Linked DNA regions of Arabidopsis thaliana. The protein of the gene in region 1 interacts with the protein of each later gene in a pairwise test. Each region holds a gene or a part of one and is shown in the gene's direction. Other genes may lie near its edges.

Region 1 (4,093 bases):
TGTTAGAAGCTTTAGCTCAGCTAGTATACGAGCAAGCACAGGGAAGGCAGTGATTGATAAGGCAACACCCATGAAGACAATAAAAGGAAGCTGATCGACTCCTTTGCTTATGGTGGCACTGAGAACAAAAGATGTGCCTACACCCACTATAAAAGGAAGTGAGATCCCAGCTATGGCTATCAATAGTGATTTCTTTCCAGTTTTTTTTATTGCTGCAAAGTCAAGCTCAAGCCCAACTAGGAACAAGAAAAACAGAAGACCAATGTTGGCGAGTGTGTCTAAAACGGTCAAGCTCTTCTTTGGGAAGATGGTGTCAAGATAGGCCTTGCTTCTCCCTAGTGCAGAAGGTCCAAGCAGTATCCCTCCCTACAGAACCATCCCTTTTAGTCTCTTTTGCTATGTGATTTCATCAAAACAGAAAAAGAAAAATACAAAGAGATTGAGTAGGAAACTCACAATGATCTCAGCAATGACTCGGGGCTGTTTGAGAGGCTTAAGAAAGTAAGCTAAGAGCCTTGTAAACACAACCACCAAGACGATTTGTAGGATGATAAGAGGAAGCGCGAAATCAAGAGGGCTTTCGTTTTGGAAGGCTCCATTGGAGGTAGCCTTCATTGGACCCGGGCATTGCCCTGTAACGTTGGTGCTTGCCATCCTAGTGGAGATCTACTTACAGGTTGATGATTGGTCAAGAAACGAGATACTGCTTCACCCTTCAATACTGCCTTGGCTGCTCCCTCATTGCATTGCCAAACGAAGTATGAGACCTGAATGGGAGGAAAAAAAAGAAATCAAGATTTTATTCTGTTCTGTTACTGTTTTTATTAAACAGAATCTACATTAAAGAAGTGAGTATATAAAAGGAAAAAACAGAAAACTAATAACGTCTATAGTTTGCTAATAATAGGTAGATGAGATAGAAGCGGACATACCAACTCCAGGGTGGGCATATACCTCGCACTTTTCTATTTATAGACTATCAGTTACTTAACTTCCAACCATATCGCATCTATACTTCGCAGATATGAACTGCCTTCACTGCGCCGAAGTTTTCGTCTCTGTCTTTGTCCTTCTGTCCTAAATTTGCAAGCACTTGTACCTGTCTCTTAACTAAGCAGCACATTTGATGTCTTACCTTCTGAAGCTTTGTAAACATCAACCATTTTCAAATATATTATCATCGTATAGACGATATAAACATTCTTGAGATGCATAAGTAGTAAGAACAAATGAACACATTAAAAAGGAAGAAGTTAACACTGTTCCAAGCCGACTAATCTAAATTTCAATCATGGGTTCTATACAAGCAAATTTCTGAGAAGGACAAAACAAAAAAAGACTTAAAATTGGAGACCGTGTTCTATTTGCTGAAGCAGCTAAAGCCATGGTAAGTGTAAATTGCACGGTCAAAGGCCACCTTTGTGATCCCATTCTCTACGCAGGATTTTTCTATAACTTCTCCAACTTTCTTAGCCATTTCCTAATCAATTCCAAGAAGAATCAAAGTTAGACAGTGTCCAAGAGAAAAACAATTGAAGCTAAGGGTCTCATGCTAAAACTTGAAAGGTTTCGGCTAGAGAATTTTGTAGATAGATTGTAGTTGAATTCAAAGCAGGTGGTAGTGAAGAACTCACAATGGTAGAACCAGTGAGCAAAAGATACAGAGCCTTGGCCATGGTCTGAGAATTGAAGGAGCTTTAAGCCACCGTACTGAATTGGAATCGGCGTCGAGGCTGTTCTCAGCGAGCTCAGACGCTGGATTACATCACCCTCTATATTTTGTAGGTTTCGAATCTTCGGTGGCTCTCTCGGTTCAATCGCCGCAGTCGGAGAGGAGAGTCTTCCTCCTCCATCTCCACCGCAAGAAGCGACCGTCGATCATCTCCCCCGCCATATACAAATGAGAATCACTAAAAAGTTTTTAACTACAGTTGGGCTAAAAGCCCAATAATAAAGCCCATAAATGAAACGACATCACAGTCATATAAATAAGAGTTCAAAAAGATGAATAATTCCGGGAAATTTTTAGAGGGCAGAGTTGTGTTTCGGCCCAGCTTGAGTTAGGGTTCCTGTGGGGAAACATGAGAGCTTTTTACTGAAGTTTCAAACCTAACTAATTTGTGTTACATCGATCCTTGTTCAAATTTGAAAGATTTGAAGATGATGTCCGATCTTCCAAGAGATTTGTTGGAGGAGAGACTCTCTAGGGTTCCGGTGAAATCATTGAGAGAAGCGCGATTTACCTGCAAAAATTGGAAAACATTATCCAAAAAGCGGAGCTTTACAAAGAAGCACCTTGCTCAGGAAGCAACATCAAGGGAAAGTGAGTTTAAGGTTGTCATGGTCTTGCATTGTAAGGTTTATCTAACGAGCATCAACCTCCGTGGAATTCACAACGGCTTTGACCCGTCTATAAACCGTCAAGCTAAACTTGTTAGCCTAAACGGTACAGATCAGATCGATATATCTGAAGTATATCACTGCGACGGTTTACTGTTATGTATCTCGAAAGACTACACTAGGGTCGTGGTTTGGAATCCGTATAGGAGCCAAACTTTGTGGCTCAAACCCAGTAGTCCTGACCATAGAATGGACTGGTATATCTGTGCTATAGGATACGAGAAGCGTAAATCAAGCCTACGCTACAAAGTTTTGCGATTCGTTGATTTTGCCGAAGAAGAATTTGTTGAGTACGAAATATACGAGTTAAAGTCTAATTCATGGAGGGTTCTCGATGTCACTTCCGACTGGGAAGTAGAGTTTTATGCACGAGGTGTCTCTCTCAAGGGAAATACTTATTGGTTTGCTACAGACAAGTTTCCAGAAATCAGCAGTAATCTTATACATAGTGTTTATTTCTTGCTCTGTTTTAATTTTACATCGGAGAGATTTGGGCCGCGTCTTCATTTGCCGTGTTACCCTATGGATGTAGATACTGTGAGTCTTTCTAGTGTTAGAGAAGAGCAACTTGCTGTGTTATTTCAGCGTAAGGACAACTTACATATGGAGATTTGGGTTACGACTAAGATTGAACCTGAAGAGGTGATGTGGAGCAAGTTGTTCTTAGCAGTGGATATGCAACCACTCACTGATTTTAAGTTTGGAATTGCAGATGCGAGTTTCATCATTGACGAAGAGAAGAAAGTTGTTGTAGTCTTTGCTAAAGACAAAGATGTAATGTATCCCACTCACAACACAGCTTACATCATTGGAGAGGATGGATATTACAAAGAAGTGGATCTCGGAAAAACTACTGATAAAATTCGAGATCCACTTGTGTGCTCGTATGTTCCAAGCTCAGCGCAAATCAAGCAAGGAGGCAAAAGGAAGAAAAAAGGGAAATTGATTACTGATTAACATTTATATCTTGCTTTGTGATCTTCTTCTTTCAACAAAATTTGGTTTGAAATAGGATAAAATTTTGTTAAAATCGAAAGTCTGTGAAACTGTAAGTTTGGTGTGAAGATACTATATTATCTGAATCACTCGCTACTTTCAGCAATCTAATCAAAGGACCAGTTCACGTAGAACCAAATCTTCAACAACAAAAGAGAAGACAAATTGAAGAAACAGATCGAAAAACACGACCACTAACTCTGCTATTCATAAGCTAATGCAATGAATGATTCAACAAAGCTTCATTCACAATCCTTCCTCAGCTTTAAGAATGCGCTCCCGAGATCAACTAAACCTCTCTACTCTTCGACGGCGCAGCTCATCTAAAGGGAGATCATTAGAAGAAGAAAGTGCTGGTCCCTGATTCAGTGACCATCCATTTCCTCTAGCCCGTCCCGAGCCACACATCTCGCAAGCACTTAACCAACCAGAATTGTCATATGTACACGACTGACATCTCCAAATACCAGGTCCTGCTATCCCAGTCTGACCTCTTCCCACTCTTCCTCTCCCCGTAATCCTCCTTCTCCGAGACCTAACCATACCATTCAGAAACCTCAAGGGCCACGTCACCAATCGAGATACACCTCTAACCGCCATAGTGACTGGATCTGAGCCTGAGTAAGAACCTTTCAGCTTCAAATAGATAATACCAGCAAGGATTCCACCCAAATGCCCAAGAAACGAAGCGTTAGGT
Region 2 (3,979 bases), 5.3 Mb from region 1:
TTCATTTAATTTACGCAGGAATAAGGAAAGAGAAGAAGCAAAGTAGAGGAAAACATTCTACTTGCTCTTTGGTGAAGAAAACGTATAGATTCCTCCGTATTTCCATTTTTCTCCCCAATTAGTTACACATCTTGATATGTTTTTTCAAAGCGATCATGTGCTAAGGGGCCTTAGAAACGGTCCATAAATACATAAAATAAAGTTCATTTATCAATCATGGCCCAAAAGTCTTTGAATCTGTTCAACGTAGTTCGACACGTATCGTTAGATTCGTTACACAGAGATTCTCGATGGCCTCGTTGTTCGTGCCATCTGTTTCCACCCACCACGTAAACAAGTATTTAAACTCCGTCCATTTCTTCACTCTTTCCACGTGTCGTCATCTTGTTCCATCATTCCCAAAATATCTTATCTCTGACATAAAAAAATACCCTACTTATTATATAAAGACCGCAAAACCAGAACCCATGTTCATGGGCGTGACATGTTATTTGACAAACAGAGCTCATTAGATAATGTTTTAAATTCGAATATCCATTGCGTAAACATTGTAAATAAACTTTAATAACGGGCCGACTATATAAACACATTCATTAAAATAATTATAGTCGTATAAATGCCACTGTTCTCTCAACTCTTAATCAATTAGAAGCCGCTTAGAAGAAAAAATGCACTATCAAGAACAGATGGAGTCTCTTATGTTGGGTGAAGAACGCAGACGCGGAAACTACACCAGAGACGTAGACGCGGACGCAGATGAAGGTGTTAACTCTCCCTCTTCTTTTCCAAACTCCCCTGATGATTCGGACCGTCGCAGTTCTTCTTCTTCTTCAAGGTAATGAGAATCAGAAAGTTCCGCTTTTAACCCCTGGCTTTAGTAATTGTCAGAACAAACCCCAATCATTAGGGTGTATTCTTAAACAATCTTATAGTTTAGGGGTATAATTAATTTCTGAGATCTTTTTCGTTGTAAAGAAACTTTTTAATCTTCCTACCACGAATTTATGTTTGGGAAATTTTGATAACAGGAGAGGATTGTCGAAACATTACAAAGGTAAATCACAATCGTTCACAACGTTGGCAGAAGCGCTAACTGTGGAAGATCTCGCGAAGCCTGAGAATCCATTCAACGCAAAGCTGAAGCAGCGACGAGAGAGCCCTCACTGTCGTAGATTATCAGGATGCGGCGGCGCATCGGAGCGAAATTTAAGTGTCCACGACGTTTTTCTCGCTGGGAACGATAGACCGCCGCGACTTTCCGGTAACAGACCGCCTCCGAGAGCCCAGACGCTCTCGGCGGCTCATATTTCGGCTTTGCTCACTCGAACCTAAACCGGAAGAGAACCGGGTTTCGTTTGGGACGATGTTTTTCAAATCTTTTGTTTTCTAATCTTGTACAAGTTGTTGTTACTTTAAAGTGTTTTGACTCTTTTGATAATTTTGTAAGTTTCAGTTTAATTTAGAGAGCACTTAACAGTATATATACAAGTAACTGACCAATTGAAAATGTTCTGTATTTTTAGATGTGATGAACTAAGAAAATTAAAATAATGTTCTGTATTTTTAGATGTGATGAACTAAGAAAATTAAAATTGATGAATTAAGAAAATGAAAAATCTAAATTCTTAGAGATTGATGGGCTGGACTAGAGGAGTCGCAGTTATCTATATTGGGCCTACAATGGGCTTTCTTAATTTACAGCCTCTTTTTTTTGCGGCAAATTTACATGTCTCTTAGCTTTCATATTTACAAATTTTACCCACTTATACTAACTAGTACAAATTCCATCATGTATTTTCTTTGTCATTAAAATACACCTTACTTTTTGTTTTATCCAATTCATGGCAGAAATTATATGTAGAATGCTAAAGTCTAGAAATGTTTTGGGGTGTATTCCGAAATAATTAATAGTTAGGTGGTTCTTTTGAAATTTCTTAATGATTATTGTATAATGCTGTCAAGATGACGTGGAGACCCATGGGATGACGAAGTTTTCACTGGCACGATCCATTCTTCATCGATTCAAACTCTTGGATTGATTTCAGAGATCAAAAGATAACACTTTCTCAGATCTTAAATTTGTTTGAATTCCTGCTCTTAAAGGTTTTTGATTGTGCAATTTTTTCGGTAACAATGGCTTCCTTGGAGATGAATGACCTAAAAAGTAAGTGTTCCAATCATAAACTCTTTGAATAGGGATGTGATAATGAACTAGTATCCATTGATCTTGAATTGCTGAATCGTTAAGGAATTTGATTGATGTGGCAGAGATAGGGCTAGGTTTGACTGGATTTGGTGTGTTCTTTACATTCCTGGGAGTGATATTTGTGTTTGACAAGGGACTCATAGCCATGGGGAACGTAGGTCTATTTATACCATCTTTGGTGTGTGTTCTTTACGATTTTAGCAAGGCTTTTTAAGGGTCTCTGTGGTCTCTTTGGACAGATCCTCTTCTTAGCTGGTGTGACTCTAACCATTGGAATCAACCCAGCAATCCAATTCTTTACTAAACGGCAGAATTTTAAGGTTCTTTCATGAATCCCTTGTGCTTCCAATTTGATGACTATTATTAATACAATAATACATCTTCTTGATATACATACAGGGTACTATATCATTTGGATTGGGTTTCTTGTTGGTTGTGTTTGGATGGCCTATTTTCGGTTTGCTTCTTGAATCATATGGGTTCCTTGTGCTCTTCAGGTGGGTTTTCTTCTCCTCAACAACATTTAATGGTTTTACTAATTCATTTCTAGTTTTGATTTGCTGACTCATGTCTTTCCTTTATTCTTCTGTAATTTTAAAGTGGTTTCTGGCCTACACTTGCCGTCTTCCTTCAAAGGATACCTCTATTAGGCTGGCTTTTGCAGCAACCATACATCAGATCGGTACATTCATTGCAACTTCTCTCTGTTTTACTATTTAGACTTATTTGCCTTATCCAATCAAACTTTTACCAACTATATATATTGGTCACTGAATCAGTTGCTGGATCGCTACCGTGGAAGGCGTGTCCCTGTCTAAACCTTCTTTGCCTTTCTTTCTTTCTTTTTGTGTGCGAATTGACCACTATCCAATTATGAAGCTTAACATGGCATTTAGAGTTCTTAACACTCTCTAGTCTCTTGTATCATATTTGACATAATTGGACTGTACAAAAACAAATACCTTTTGTATTTTATTTTAAATTTACAAAATTTTACATATATGTAATTAGAAACCTGATTTAGCAAATTAGAGCAATCAGAAACATTCATGAATGCCAAAATATATACGCAAAGTAACCTTCAAAGTTTGTTTCACATCGACACTTATTATAAGTTAACTGTAATTAAATGTTGGTTCGTCTACTGTACACATCTCCAGTACTATAGTGAAAAATAATTCACAGCTCTTGTAAACGTTATTATTCACAATTTTAATTAGAACAACAACAAAAAACATTTTAAAAATCAAGAATTCCATGCTAAAAGCACGTTTCATGATCTCACCTACTCAAAGGTCCAACGGATTTGAAAAAAAAAAAAAAAATGACCACTGATTAATATCCACAGCAGACAAAGGCACTCATAAACATTTTATAACTTTTGTGGCCTATAAATGCATACATCCACATTCATGTCGGTATTTACAATTTCATATCAATAGTTACGTATAAACATATAATCAGAAAATGGTGGTCAAAGTATATGGGCAGATAAAAGCAGCTAATCCACAAAGAGTATTGCTCTGCTTTTTGGAAAAAGACATCGAGTTTGAAGTAATTCATGTCGATCTCGATAAACTTGAACAGAAAAAACCACAACATCTTCTTCGTCAGGTATATAAGTCACAATATTTTCAGTATTATCACAGAAAACGTGTTATTCATTACGTTGTATACTTGTATTAGCCGTTTGGTCAAGTTCCAGCTATTGAAGATGGATATCTGAAGCTTTTTGGTAAGATACATTCTCAAATATTTTGCTGCTTTTTCTCT
Region 3 (7,745 bases), on another chromosome or scaffold:
GCGGTAGTATATTTTTTTTGTTAACTCCTTGACATATTCTCTCTATTGGATTTCGGTGTACCGGTTTAATATATTGATTAAAGTTAAATTGTTCAAACCATTCTTATATGTACAAAAAGTGTATAAGATCTATTTATATGTTTCAACAAGATTTTAGTTTGTGTGGAGAAGTTTTATTGCATGAGCTATGTGAACTCTACATATTCGTCGTATATATTCATATTAGTGTGATCATAATTAAAACACAAAATAAAAACATTCGCATCTAATCAATACAAAAAAACATCTTAAATATTTTCTTTAGTAAGAACAAAAACGAGACAGCGGAAACATTAAAAATGGGTTACAAGATGCTTCAAACATACAAATAAAAAGGCACATAAATATGAAACTCAATGGTAGAGTAATTAATACCCTCACAAATTTAATGACTAGCGACAATATATAAACCCCTCAAAACAGAGAACTTATCATAATCACAAGAACCACCATCCCCGGACCAACCAAACCGGCCGAATTGGGAGCTGTAGCCGGTCCTGGAGCTGGAACACGAGAGTTTGAATCAGATGATGGTTCCACTCCTGGAGAAGGCCCCGGCGAAGACAACTCCTGATGGACCGGAGACGGGGAGGGAGAGGTATGACGAGGAGAGTGGCTGTGGTGGACGGTGGACAAGACCTTGACGGCTAGCTTCTGACCTTTAAGACAGTTTTGAGAGTTGCCACTAATGAAAAAGTAGGAACCTGAGTGGCTAAGTAGGAAGAGAGAGTCTCCGTCTGAGAGGGAAGTCAGGGGGTGTGTCGTGTTGCATGTGTTGTACTCTTGTTCAGTCACCTCCAACACTGAATCTTTTCCCTTGGCGTACTTAAAATCTTGTAAAAATCAAAATTACTATGCATTAATATTGACACATTGTGTATATATAGTAGAGAAGAGGAAATAGACTTACGAAGAGTGTCGTTGACTTGAAACCGGTTTCGGTGAGACCAATGAGAATAATCTTCGGAAGGAGTCGGGACCCAACCATCTTTCCCACCAACATAGAACTTGTATCCATTTGATATCGTAAACCCTAAACCCATCAACATCACAAACATAAGGTAAAGATCAAACCTCATGACCAAACCCATCTCCGATGCAAAACGTTAATCAAACCCCAACTTCTTACTAACTCTTTTGAAGTGAGTGTGTGTGTGTGTGTGTGTTTGCAACCTCAAGAGGTGCTTATTTATGGTGAAAGTAAAGAAAACATAGCCGTTAGGTCAAGCTTTTTGGGCTGTGCATCGATTACCTAAAGAAATGCGAATTAAGTAGAAGCGTTTTGGTTTTGCTCCTGTCTTCTTTTGAACACGTCTCGACATGCAGTGGACTTAACGGCTATCTACCTTTAATTTTTCACTTTCTTTCTCACAAACAAACATTTCTCACTCAGATCTTGTAATTATTTAGCCATCAAATATAAAATTGTAATCCTTTAGTATTTATTATTATTTAAAACTTACGTTACATATTGTTTTATTTTATATTTCAATTTACAAATCGATAAATATCCCAGTGATACAATAATAAAATTTTAGTGGGCCTTTCAAATGGATTGGGTATGTTGTAAGAAAGGCTTTGCAGTTTCTTCTCCTCTACCTTTAAAGCCCAACTATTAGTAGAAGACTGAATCCTTTTTGATTGTCTTGTAGTTTACACAATGTACACAATCTTTCTCCTAATTTTATACTCTTTCTCCTCTACTTTTAAAACATCAACTACTGTAGTTGGACAATATTAGAAATTGTTTACTTTCTATAATGAGGATTTAGTGGGGGTGAAGGATCTAATTAAATATTTGATGATCGTTCCTAAACTGTGAGATCGAAATATACAAATTTCTACTTATGTTTTAGTCCAAAAAAAAACGTAATAGATTGGTACAAATCCTTTTTGAGGAAAAAAGAAGTTTTAAGGCGTAAAGAAAAGACCTGAGAATATGAAACCTCAACTAACTAATTTATCAATTGAACCTTCCTTCGTTTATAACAGAAAAAGCTAATAAATAAAAATAAAAATAAAAATCAGAGAGACCAAAAAGAAGTTTCGACTTGTTCAACAATTGAGTTATTGAAGAATACGTTTGATTGAGAAGCTTCAACGACCGCAATTGCCCAAATTCATCAATTGGAGTTTTTTATAAAACAAATTGCATCTTAAGGTTGTTATTGTTGTTGTTGTTTATCTGTCTGTAATCATCTTTCTATCTGCTGTCTGATACATCTACGAATCTTATGCTGTCTTTTGGGTTTTCTTACACAACCAAAACCAAAGCCTAGTTTTGTTTTGACTTCATTTGAAGCAAACCTCTTTCTTTCTTCAGTTATGTGGGTTTTTGAGCTAGACTCGAATCAGTTCTGATCCAGTCGGATTTTGTATTGAGTCATAAAGAAGGGATTTTTGGGGGTTGTGAGTGATATGAAGAAGCGGGAACATTTGGGATTAGGGTTCTTCGAGTGGCAGATTATCTTATGGTTATCGATTTGGTTGGCGATTTCGCAACAAGCGCTGGGATTGAGACCTATTAGGGAGAAACCTCGATCATGGAGTGACGAGGTATGTGTGTGTGTTTTTACTTTATTGATGATTGTTCGAAAGTTTCTTCATTTCGATGTTTCCCAGAAACATATTTTTATGTTTTGTTCGTAATTTTGATGTGCCTTTCCAACTAAGAATTCGAGCAGTTTGCTGTCAAATGTTTTTTTTATTGACTTGTTTCTGCTCATGATTTGCTGAACGAGAACTGGTCATAATTGATGATTTTTTTTCTAAGTCTGAGATTTTCTGAGTTTCGAAGAAAATGGACCATATTGAATGAAAATCCCGGAGTAGAGCAGCTCTGATCTAAGTTTTATCTTTTGATTTGATTGAGCAAAGCTGAAAATGTATATAAACTATTTACATTAGCTCGATTGAGCTCATCGGTATCTAAGCTTTGTTCTGCCGGCGAATACTTTGAGATGAATAAGAATGAATCTGTCGTTAGTAGTGTGGTGTGATGAGACTACAATAATGGAGTCTAAGGTACATAGAGACCGGTTAGTTGTTACAGAAGTAGAACGCGTGATAGTGGGGAATCTTCGATGACATTTTACAGTTTGGGTTTGTAGCTAGTGACTTTTAAGTAGACTGTGCAAAGGGAACTCATGTACGTTAGACTGACCAGGCAATGTTTGGGTAATGGTTTAATACGTGAGGTCTTTGTGATCTTGCAGTGGCTCTTTGGTAGGAAACAAGAAGCTGAAGTTGGACCCTTTTCTGCTTGGAATATAACAGGAACTTATAGAGGTTTGCCGCATGCCCTTCTCCATTTTTTTTACGTCTTTTACACTTCAGGATTGTCTACGATGTTGTGGGTATATGTCTGTAGCTTAATGTTTTAGACTACTTATCAAATGTAAAGCGGGTATTTTCAGGAACTTGGAAGTTTCTGAATTCCTTAAATAGCTCTTCGAAGTTTCAAGACTTTCAAAAAGAAAATGGTAATTCTGTGGTTGAGTTAGTAGCAGTTCCAACGAAGATAACTGGTGTGCATTATGTTCAGGTAAAGAGTTCAGCTTCTAAGCTCTGTATCATAGGATCACCGTTGATGTTGTAGAATGCAATGTTTTGAACTTATACAACGTTAATGAAACAGGGTGTAGTTGTTTTCCATGACGTATTTGACAATGAACAAAATGTGGGTGGTGCCCAAATAAATCTGGAAGGTGTATATATATGGCCCTTTAGACAACTCCGCCTTGTGGCTAACAGGTACTAACTTTTGATTTATTTAACTGCTCTTAAGATTTATTATTGAGTCTTAACTCCAAGGTCTGTACATCACTTGACCTAAACAGCGGCAAGGAGAGTGATTCAGGGCAAGAAGACAATAATCTTCTCTCAAATCCCTATCATCTGGTAGTCCTTAAGACAACGATAGTGCTTTCTTCTGCTAATGGCTTGTTTGATGTGTTAAAATGTTCCAAGAGCTTACTAGTGTCAACTTTCTGTTGTTGTACAGCTTGGAATTTTCTCCTCTCAAGTGTTTCAAGAATCTCCAAGAGACAGATTACTGAAACGGAAACTTTGTAAGCAGTATCTTATTTTCTCCAGTATGGTTTACTTTTCAGCAACACTGATCTTCAATTCTCTTGTACTTCAGCTCCAGTAAATGAGATGGAGAAGCACTGTAATATCGAAATAGCAGCTCAAGTATCCCGTGTGGCTTCTAGTGAAAATAGTATGCATTCTAACTTTAAACATCGAAGTGATCTTGGTGTATTCTTTGTCTCCTTTGTCACATTTAATTGTAAATTGAAAGACTTTTCCATATTTTGGTAGATGGAGACAAAAATTATTATCACATGGAAGGATTGATGGAAAGTCCTGGGGTAGGCGATGACGGAGATTGTTTTTCCCCTTTGTTACTGAACGCAACTTCTGTAAATGTTGAAGTCTACTATAACAAAGCTGTGAACTATACACTGATGGTCACTTTTGTATCCTTTACTGAAAAGTCGTTTACTCTTTCATAATAGAATGCCGAGTTCTTGTGCAATTTTACGTGTTCCTTAACTCTCTATTGCATTTAGGTCTCTTTCCTCCAGGTTCTTCTGTTGATCCGGCAAATGGAGCACGGTAACACACAATCTGTAAGATACTGTTTTAAACCAGATGGTCTGATATTGTTATTCTTGTACAGAACGAATAAAAATACTAACTTCCGCAAGTTATTGTATACAAGGGTGCTGCTAAGGTATCCATTGTAATGATTGGGCAACAAGCGATCATGGATGCTTATTTGTGCCTCTTACATCTAACAGCCGGTATATTAGTCGGTACGTATTTTGGTTATAATTGTACTCGTTAAAGGATGCCATCTTCTTATGCTTTTTAATTAACTTATTACTTCTTTTTCATGTAACATGTTTAGCTTTTATTTTACTCTGTAGTGTCCCTTCATTTTGATGATATTCTTTGTTGGTTTTTCATGGACCATTCGGTCCCTCATCTGTCTCACTGACCCTTATGCTACCTGACATTGTGATGTTCTTTTCTTTCTCAATTATCAATCAGTGTTAAACCTAAAGCTTACTACTTCTCATGCAGAATCTCTATTTAATGCATTTGCAACCGCTGCGTTCTTCAAGTTCGTAGTCTTTTCGATTTTTGAGATGAGATATCTTCTGGCTATATGGAAAGCAACCCGTCCTTCCAATAGCGGAGAGGGTTGGGAAACAATGAGGAGAGAACTGTCCTTTCTGTACAGTCGTTTCTGTGAGTACTTACTTCTTTGGTGTTTTTTTTATCGATTAAAGCTTCAAACTCTTTTCTTACTGCATGTTTATGATATGGGTCATATATAACTGCTTGATTCTCTTACCCTCTTTTCAATGCTATTTTCCTTGAAACCAATACCAAGAAAATGGTTTGAATTGTCTTCCAAACCACAGAGAAAAATGTAATATCCCAATGAGAAAATTGCATTTTTGGAAACTATACGAGTATATCCTGTCACTATGGTATGGAAAAATGGTTTTGTTTATCTTCTCAAAATTTCCAAGTTATTCACTAGTTTATGTAGGTTTTATTTTGATTCTAAGGACAATAACCTGCACTGAATCTTGAGTGCTAGATATTCTCACCATTTATGTGACTTCTGTTTTTCATTTAGCTGAAACTTTGACGCAAGTTCAGATGCTAATGCTGATGTTTCATCATTTTCACAATATTAAACAGATGGGATCCTTCTTGGAGGCATTTTGATAATGTACCAGTTCCACAACTACATGCAGCCGATTCTCCTTCTCATGTACTCATTTTGGATACCACAAATAGTCGCCAATGTTGTCCGGGATTCAAGAAAGCCTCTGCACCCATATTACATCTTGGGCATGACAGCTACACGGTTAGCTATACCGTTATATGTTTTTGGATGCCCACACAACTTCATGCGTGTAGAGCCCAACAAGGTTTGGTGTATATGCTTGTGCACATTCATGGGGTTGCAAGCCGTCATTCTTCTTCTTCAGCATTATTTTGGTTCACGCTGCTTTGTTCCCCGTCAGGTTAGTTTGTTTTGTATTCATGTAAACTACACATGAAACAATATATCTAATAAAGTGAACACTAAGTTTTCAGTTCGGTTTCAGTTTGGCTTGAATATTTCAAGTCTCGTTCCCATTGCTAAGTTGTTTTTGACTACCACTAATCTCTTTCTTCATCGTTTTGCCTACACGCAGATGCTACCAGAGAAATACAACTACCACCGAAGATTTAATCGGGATGTAAGCCGCACCACTGATTGTGTTATCTGCATGACCGCTATTGATCTCAGACAGCATACCAGTGATTGCATGGTACTGCAGTTTTTTCCTGCTTCTCTTAACTATATTTTTTCCCCAATAGACAGAATCATGAGTGTGGTTGTTCTGAAAACAGGTAACTCCATGTGAACATTTCTTTCACTCGGGATGCTTACAGAGATGGATGGATATAAAAATGGAGTGTCCAACTTGTCGGCGGTCTCTTCCTCCAGCATAGAGGATGTTTTCGGTTTGTTAGGATGTACAGACTTCACTCAGATTATTGCGGGTAACAACTCAAATCTAAATTTTTTATTTTACTTTTTTTCCTTCGAAGTTTCTTTGCCTATTAGGTCTATAGATAGGGTCTTGGTTCTATCTGAAGAAAATTTGTTGCTAACAGAAATATGATTTCATAAATGAGAATTCAAAATGATAAAACCCAAATCTCTGTAAATAGTTGGCCTATGAGGAATCATGCTTTTATTTGAGTGTTTCAGGTTTGTCGGTTCCTTTTTTTGTCTGACTGTGGGATGTATTACTTATTTGTCAAACATTCCTGAAGTGTGATTGTTCACAAAATCGCGAAGTTAACTGCTGCAAAATTTGATCCTGAAACAGGTGGGGCTGGTTCTTTAATTTCAGGTCCTTGCAGAGGTTTAGAAGATTTTTAGATGAAAACAGAGCAAAGGTGGAATCTGTAACTGCGGCTAGATACCGCAGATAGACAATTGTGTTCTGTATAAACTGTATTACGTTATAATCTTAGTGCATATTCTTCACCCCACAACTAAATCTTTCACACATTTCTAGTTCTTTCATTTTCTTTGCATACATAGCATCTTGTCATTGTGCGCATAAGAGTGAATCCTTATGTGTCAGCTGGACCAGGAGCAATGGAAGGTCCTGCGGTAGATGGAGCAACCAGTGGAGCCATGGGTGAGCATTCGTGGTCATAGCAGTCTATGGGGTGCTCAAGTACAGCATCACAGACTTTTTGGGGACGCTGAAGCGGTTTGTCAGGCAGACAGTTGTAGCGATCATCGATGGCTATTCCTCTGGAAGTCAGGTTCCTGCAGATACCTTCTTCTTCACTGAAATAGTTGTAAGAGACGGTAACGTTCAGCAAGCTGGGCAAAACGCAGACTCCAAGAGGGACAGTGCCAGTGAACATGTTGTGTTCCAGATTTAGCTGCTCGAGATGGCCTAGCCCAGCGAGACTGTAAGGTACAGGACCAACTAAACTGTTGTAGCTCATGTCCAGGACTCTTAGCTTGTAGAGATACCCGACTTCGGGGGGTAGACACCCAGATAAGCTTGAGTTGATTAGGAGAAGCTCTTCTAAGGTATCTGCAAAGCGGGCTATGGTTGGAGGCAGACAACCGCTAAAATCATTGTTGGCAAAGACGACAACAGAGG
Region 4 (5,377 bases), 5.4 Mb from region 1:
CACATAAGAAGCGTTTCCTTTTCGTATCAATATCTTAAACTTAAAAGAAGATTCAAGGGAAAAAAGCTGATCTGTTTGACATACCTTGATCATCAGAAGGAACAGTATTTTCTTCCTGCTTTTCGTATAACTTGTTTGGATCAACTCCACTGGCAACCCTTTCTCGCAGTTCATTTATACAATTCTAAAAGGATAACACATCAGTATATATCAATGTATCAAGTATAAATGCAAAGGCAACATAGCCATTGAGTGAATATATAGTTTCAGTTTCTGGCAGAACCTAACTATGTTAGGGAAGTAAAGAACGTATGAGCAACCTAACACAGCCTCAGAGTCTAGTAATTCGAACTTTAAAGCAACAGATGATTGATCACCAAAGAACGAGACAAGCAATGTCATTCTGGCCTATATAATTTGTTTCACGATGTTAGCCCGTCAGCAGGATTCAGATCAAGTATAAACGCAAAGGCAACATAGCCATCAAGTGAACATATAGTTTTTAGTTACTGGAAGAACCTAAGTATGTTACACAAGTAAAGACTAACATATGAGCACAATGATCATATACCAAAACAGCCTAACAAATACTCAGATCCTCTATCTTGCAACTTGAAAGCAACACATGAGTGAACATCAAACAAGGAGACGAACAATGTAATTCTGATTACAGCAATCTAGACTAACCACTGCTTAATACAATCATCGGAATATTTTCAACCTTTAAATCCGGATTCATAGATTCACAATTGCCACAAGGAAGAACGCTTTACAAAAACAGAAAAAGTGGATCGAGCAATGTAGTACCTTAACACGCTTAGTAGAAGCGACTTGTTGAACTTTATGCACAAAGTGATCAAAGGAATAGTAAGGTAGCAAATGAGTGTGCCACTCACTGTACAACCGTATCAAATTCCCCAAATCGCTCACCTATAAAAATTATTCATATTATCCAAATTATCACACTGTAACATGTAAAACCGCTGTTAAACGAATCTGCGGGTGAAAAAAAGACTTGCCTCTTTGCCTCGGCCACGATACTTGAAGGATTTAGGGAAATAGCGAAGAACATAGCCGAGACCATCCTCAGAGAGTAACAATTCAGGAGTTAGCTTGGGCCTTTGAACTCTCGTCTTCGTCACTTTAGGAGCAGGAGCTATTGAGGTTCCACTTTTACTGGAGGATCTCTGAAATTCATTATTAGGGATTTGAGATGGAGCGGAAGAAGAAGAAACGGAATTATTGCCGGCGACCGGAGCCGATGATGGACAATCACGAGACCAATGACCGGGACGACCACACTTGAAGCATCCCGTCGGAGCTGATTCCATTTCAGATTTCACTCTTCGATCTCTCTTTCTCCCTCTTAGGTCTTTTATCATTCCACCATCGAAAATTATTTGGGCGGTTTTCACTTTTTCTTTAGCGGGAAAATTAGACGAGTCGGGTACTGTTTGACCCGGTTTATTATAAAAACCTAAAGAAAGAGAAGCCCATTAAATACAAATTTTGGAACCAAACATATTGTAATTTGAGGCCTTAAAGCCCAGTAGAATATATTAGTAACGTAGTAGAGAAGACAGAGAGTTGCAAATAATGTCCAGAAATAGTATTATTATAGTCCAGAAATAGCGTTTTTTAGCGGGATGATCTATCAATACTGGCAAAAATTATTAATTTTAGTGTGTTGTGGGACAGATTAATCCACTTCAAGATCATTACTTGAGAATTTATTTACAGGATTTTTAAAATTAGGTTATACAGAAATTCGAAAGAAGAAGGATGGTTCTCCATGCTTTTGGGAAAAGGTAAGAGTTTATGAGAGATTGAGATTATTACAAAAAATCTAAACTTTTTTTTTGTCCATTTTTTCTCGGAAAAATTACTCTTCTTCATCGATTTTCCGGTGGTTTGGATTGTCAACTTCATCTTCTTCTTCTCTTTCTCCTTTCATTTTTTTTCTTGTGTTTCTTCTTTTACGTGGGTCCTTCAATCTCCATGAAGGACCCGACCATTGCTTAATCCTAAACAAAACTCCAAAAATCTAATTCTTTTCGATCTGTTTTATCTTCAAATAATAATACTCTTTGATTGCTAAAACCGATTTTGATCATCATCATGCACTGTTTTCCGTGTTTCTCTTCGCCAAAGAACAAGAAATCTTCAACTACGAATGAGACCAACGACAACAACGAACCCAAACCAGATGGTATTTATCTCCTAACGATGTACCATTTCTTAGTTTTCCTTGTTCATACGATCAGTAAAATGAAAGAAAACAAAAAATGATCATTTTTTGTTTGTTTTTAAAGATAGGAGACGTGCAGAAGAAACAGAGGAAATAGAGCAATCGGAAGGAACATCGTTGAAGATATTCACTTTCCGGGAATTAGCTACAGCCACAAAGAATTTCCGGCAAGAGTGTTTGCTAGGAGAAGGTGGATTTGGTAGGGTTTACAAAGGAACCCTCAAATCTACTGGCCAGGTTCTTCCTTAAATCTCCAGAATTTGGAATTTAGGATACATTCATGAGACCATCACCAAAGTTAGGTATTTTTCAATGAGCCATCATCAGAATCAGAAGAATTTGTCTTGTAGGTGGTGGCTGTAAAGCAACTAGACAAGCATGGATTACATGGAAACAAAGAGTTTCAAGCTGAGGTTTTGTCTTTAGGCCAACTTGATCATCCGAATCTTGTTAAGCTTATTGGTTACTGCGCGGATGGAGATCAAAGGCTTTTGGTCTATGATTATATCTCTGGAGGTTCACTTCAAGACCATCTTCATGGTACTAAATTGAGAGATTCTCATTGAACACATTTTTTTTACTTTGAAAGAAATGACAATTTGAATTTTGCAGAACCAAAAGCAGACAGTGATCCGATGGATTGGACAACTAGGATGCAGATAGCGTATGCTGCAGCGCAAGGGCTTGATTACTTGCACGATAAAGCGAATCCACCCGTGATATACAGAGATTTGAAAGCTTCAAACATTTTGTTAGATGATGACTTTTCTCCTAAGCTTTCTGATTTTGGTCTACATAAGCTAGGACCCGGGACAGGTGATAAGATGATGGCTTTATCTTCACGAGTAATGGGAACTTATGGTTACTCTGCACCTGAGTATACACGAGGCGGAAATCTCACTTTGAAATCAGATGTCTATAGCTTTGGTGTTGTGTTGCTTGAGCTTATCACGGGTCGAAGAGCTCTTGATACTACTAGGCCTAATGATGAACAGAACTTAGTTTCTTGGGTAATAAATAACAAACCCTAATATTATTGCACTTTTTCAACCAAGTTAAAACAAGAAGTTTTTATCTTGCTGAACAATTCATGTTATCGCAGGCACAACCGATATTTAGAGATCCGAAGAGGTATCCCGATATGGCAGATCCAGTTTTGGAGAATAAATTCTCAGAGAGAGGATTAAACCAAGCAGTGGCAATAGCTTCAATGTGTGTGCAAGAGGAAGCATCAGCTCGTCCTCTTATAAGCGATGTAATGGTTGCGCTTAGCTTCCTTTCGATGCCTACAGAAGATGGTATTCCCACAACAGTTCCTATCTTATCCTTCAAAGACAAGAGCATGTCTATAGCCTTAAGCCGACATGATTCAAATCTTGTATCTCCTCCTCCTGAGCTAGCTACGGAAGATGACAAATCTAGTACCTCATCAGGCGAAGAATCATCTTTGGAGAGCGAAAAGGAGAGTGTGAGTAAGAATGAGTATAAGAAGAAACATGAAGAGGAAGATAGCTCAATGGAATCTGATGATGAGTCTGATTCTAACTCTGAACATGAAAAGGACCAACCACCAAAGCCTATTGATGAGAAGAACCAGGCGCAAAGCTTGAAGATAAAGTATAGATATAGCTGGGAAGATATTGATGTCAATGATGAGAGGCTAAGCAGTAAAAGCAGCCAAAAATCAAACGACGAAAGTACTTCTTCGCGTTATGATAGCGACAGAGATCAAGACGAGAAAGGGAAAGAAGAAGAGGAAGAGGAAGAGGCAGAAGAAAAGCATACTCATATTGAACACATTGATAGCTCAAAAACTGATGATGATCAAAGTGTTTACTTTGATAATGATGATGATTCAGGAGATGACAATGGAGGCTCTTTGCATCGGATAAAATCAGATGTTGCGATCGATTCTATTAAAGAGTGACATTTTTCAAGATTTTTTATCAATCCGTTGAAGCTCACAAGAAGTATTTGAAACTTTTTTGGGTTTATTTTTGGGAAAAATTCTTAATTGGGTATTAAAATAAGATACATATTGACGGTTTTTCTTAACAAATTATAACCATCTCTCTTTATACATGATGAAGATGTTTTGGATTGATAGATTAATAAAGAAACAAGTTGTATAATCAGATAATCTGATTGAGAAAACTTATCTCAGCTTTTGTAATCCTTTAAAAAAAAATGTTACGTACTTGTGTTTTTCTTTAAATAGTAGATGAAATAATAATAGTTTAGCATTTTAAAGAAAAACAAGTATGAGATAATCAAACCCTAGATAAGAATCTTAATAATCAATCTTAGCTGTGACTCATATAGCCTATGAGCAAATATTACATTATTCATAGGAAATGGAAAGTATTAGATTCTCAATTTGGATATACTAAAGTAGATACTTAAACTGATAGATAAAAGACATATCTACTTCTTATCCTATTTTTGCAATTAAGGATAGTCTTTGTGTTTTCCATCTTTTTGTCAACGACACTTGTCAAAAGTTTCAGTCTGTGGAATCAAAATTTTTAAATGAGACCACTTAGTTTTACTTTTCTTTCATGATTCGACCACTATACTTTCTAAGAATATTTATTTTAATCAAAATTAGATAATGTTTACAGGATTGACCCAAATTAGATTCGTAAAGAATCGTCAGCTATGAGGTCAAATAAAAGCAGAGAAAACGACACGTGTCAGGATCTTGGAGATTCCTGAAGTGAGGTCCACCCTAAAATCCATTTAAGGTTTTCTAAGCAAATCAACAAAGGAAGGAAGGATCCTACCAAAAGCTCCCAAAATCTGAGTACGCTTTTCAAAGTTGTCTCCTTTATGAACCCCACTTGATCCCTTCTCCTCCTATAAAAACATCTTCTTCTCAGATCAATCCCATCAAATCTCGGGTCTTGCTCTGTTTCTCTCTTTTTGATTCTTTTAGAGGTTTACTGAATTCGATGTGTTTGATTATGGAAACGGATGATCACAACGGTGATGTTTTAGCGCCGCCGTCGAATTTCTCGATGGTTGAAGATGGAATTTATCGATCTGGGTTTCCTCGACCTGAGAATTTCAGTTTCCTTAAAACCCTAAATCTTCGTTCCATCATGTAAGATCCTTTATTAATCTTCTGGG

Evidence for each region.
Region 2: the proteins of AT3G17620 (region 1) and AT3G03180 interact in a protein complementation assay, tested with the Arabidopsis thaliana proteins (one large-scale study listed by BioGRID).
Region 3: the proteins of AT3G17620 (region 1) and AT4G28370 interact in a protein complementation assay, tested with the Arabidopsis thaliana proteins (one large-scale study listed by BioGRID).
Region 4: the proteins of AT3G17620 (region 1) and AT3G02810 interact in a protein complementation assay, tested with the Arabidopsis thaliana proteins (one large-scale study listed by BioGRID).

The regions. Positions count from the first base shown.
Region 1 is NC_003074.8:6,025,762-6,029,854, reverse strand, and holds AT3G17620 (F-box and associated interaction domains-containing protein), read left to right. Parts: upstream 1-2,160; coding exon 2,161-3,357; 3' UTR 3,358-3,409; downstream 3,410-4,093. Other genes in the region: CHX19 (cation/H+ exchanger 19), read right to left, coding at 1-366, 457-654; AT3G17626 (structural constituent of ribosome), read right to left, coding at 1,361-1,480, 1,635-1,676; RBL14 (RHOMBOID-like protein 14), read right to left, coding at 3,682-4,093.
Region 2 is NC_003074.8:731,398-735,376, forward strand, and holds AT3G03180 (Got1/Sft2-like vescicle transport protein family), read left to right. Parts: upstream 1-1,986; 5' UTR 1,987-2,133; coding exon 2,134-2,164; exon of another isoform or gene 2,165-2,268; coding exon 2,269-2,360; intron 2,361-2,445; coding exon 2,446-2,526; intron 2,527-2,605; coding exon 2,606-2,703; intron 2,704-2,806; coding exon 2,807-3,083; 3' UTR 3,084-3,234; downstream 3,235-3,979. Other genes in the region: AT3G03170 (uncharacterized protein), read left to right, coding at 669-835, 1,029-1,332; GSTF11 (glutathione S-transferase F11), read left to right, coding at 3,674-3,820, 3,893-3,941. UniProt on the Arabidopsis thaliana protein: May be involved in fusion of ER-derived transport vesicles with the Golgi complex.
Region 3 is NC_003075.7:14,032,559-14,040,303, forward strand, and holds AT4G28370 (RING/U-box superfamily protein), read left to right. Parts: upstream 1-1,977; 5' UTR 1,978-2,457; coding exon 2,458-2,595; intron 2,596-3,254; coding exon 3,255-3,327; intron 3,328-3,455; coding exon 3,456-3,583; intron 3,584-3,676; coding exon 3,677-3,792; intron 3,793-3,878; coding exon 3,879-3,939; intron 3,940-4,042; coding exon 4,043-4,109; intron 4,110-4,183; coding exon 4,184-4,261; intron 4,262-4,362; coding exon 4,363-4,520; intron 4,521-4,613; coding exon 4,614-4,673; intron 4,674-4,765; coding exon 4,766-4,859; intron 4,860-5,130; coding exon 5,131-5,298; intron 5,299-5,760; coding exon 5,761-6,089; intron 6,090-6,263; coding exon 6,264-6,380; intron 6,381-6,462; coding exon 6,463-6,564; 3' UTR 6,565-6,615; intron 6,616-6,947; 3' UTR 6,948-7,110; downstream 7,111-7,745. Other genes in the region: ENODL3 (early nodulin-like protein 3), read right to left, coding at 454-872, 950-1,130; AT4G28380 (Leucine-rich repeat (LRR) family protein), read right to left, coding at 7,198-7,745. UniProt on the Arabidopsis thaliana protein: E3 ubiquitin-protein ligase that regulates the degree of methylesterification of pectin in seed mucilage. May be involved in the recycling of pectin methylesterase enzymes in the endomembrane system of seed coat epidermal cells.
Region 4 is NC_003074.8:607,527-612,903, reverse strand, and holds AT3G02810 (Protein kinase superfamily protein), read left to right. Parts: upstream 1-1,764; 5' UTR 1,765-2,118; coding exon 2,119-2,209; intron 2,210-2,312; coding exon 2,313-2,485; intron 2,486-2,598; coding exon 2,599-2,788; intron 2,789-2,860; coding exon 2,861-3,258; intron 3,259-3,350; coding exon 3,351-4,175; 3' UTR 4,176-4,467; downstream 4,468-5,377. Other genes in the region: AT3G02820 (zinc knuckle (CCHC-type) family protein), read right to left, coding at 85-184, 808-930, 1,020-1,382; PFA-DSP3 (Tyrosine phosphatase family protein), read left to right, coding at 5,200-5,351. UniProt on the Arabidopsis thaliana protein: Involved in pollen tube guidance into micropyle. Participates in perception of the ovule-secreted peptide signal LURE1.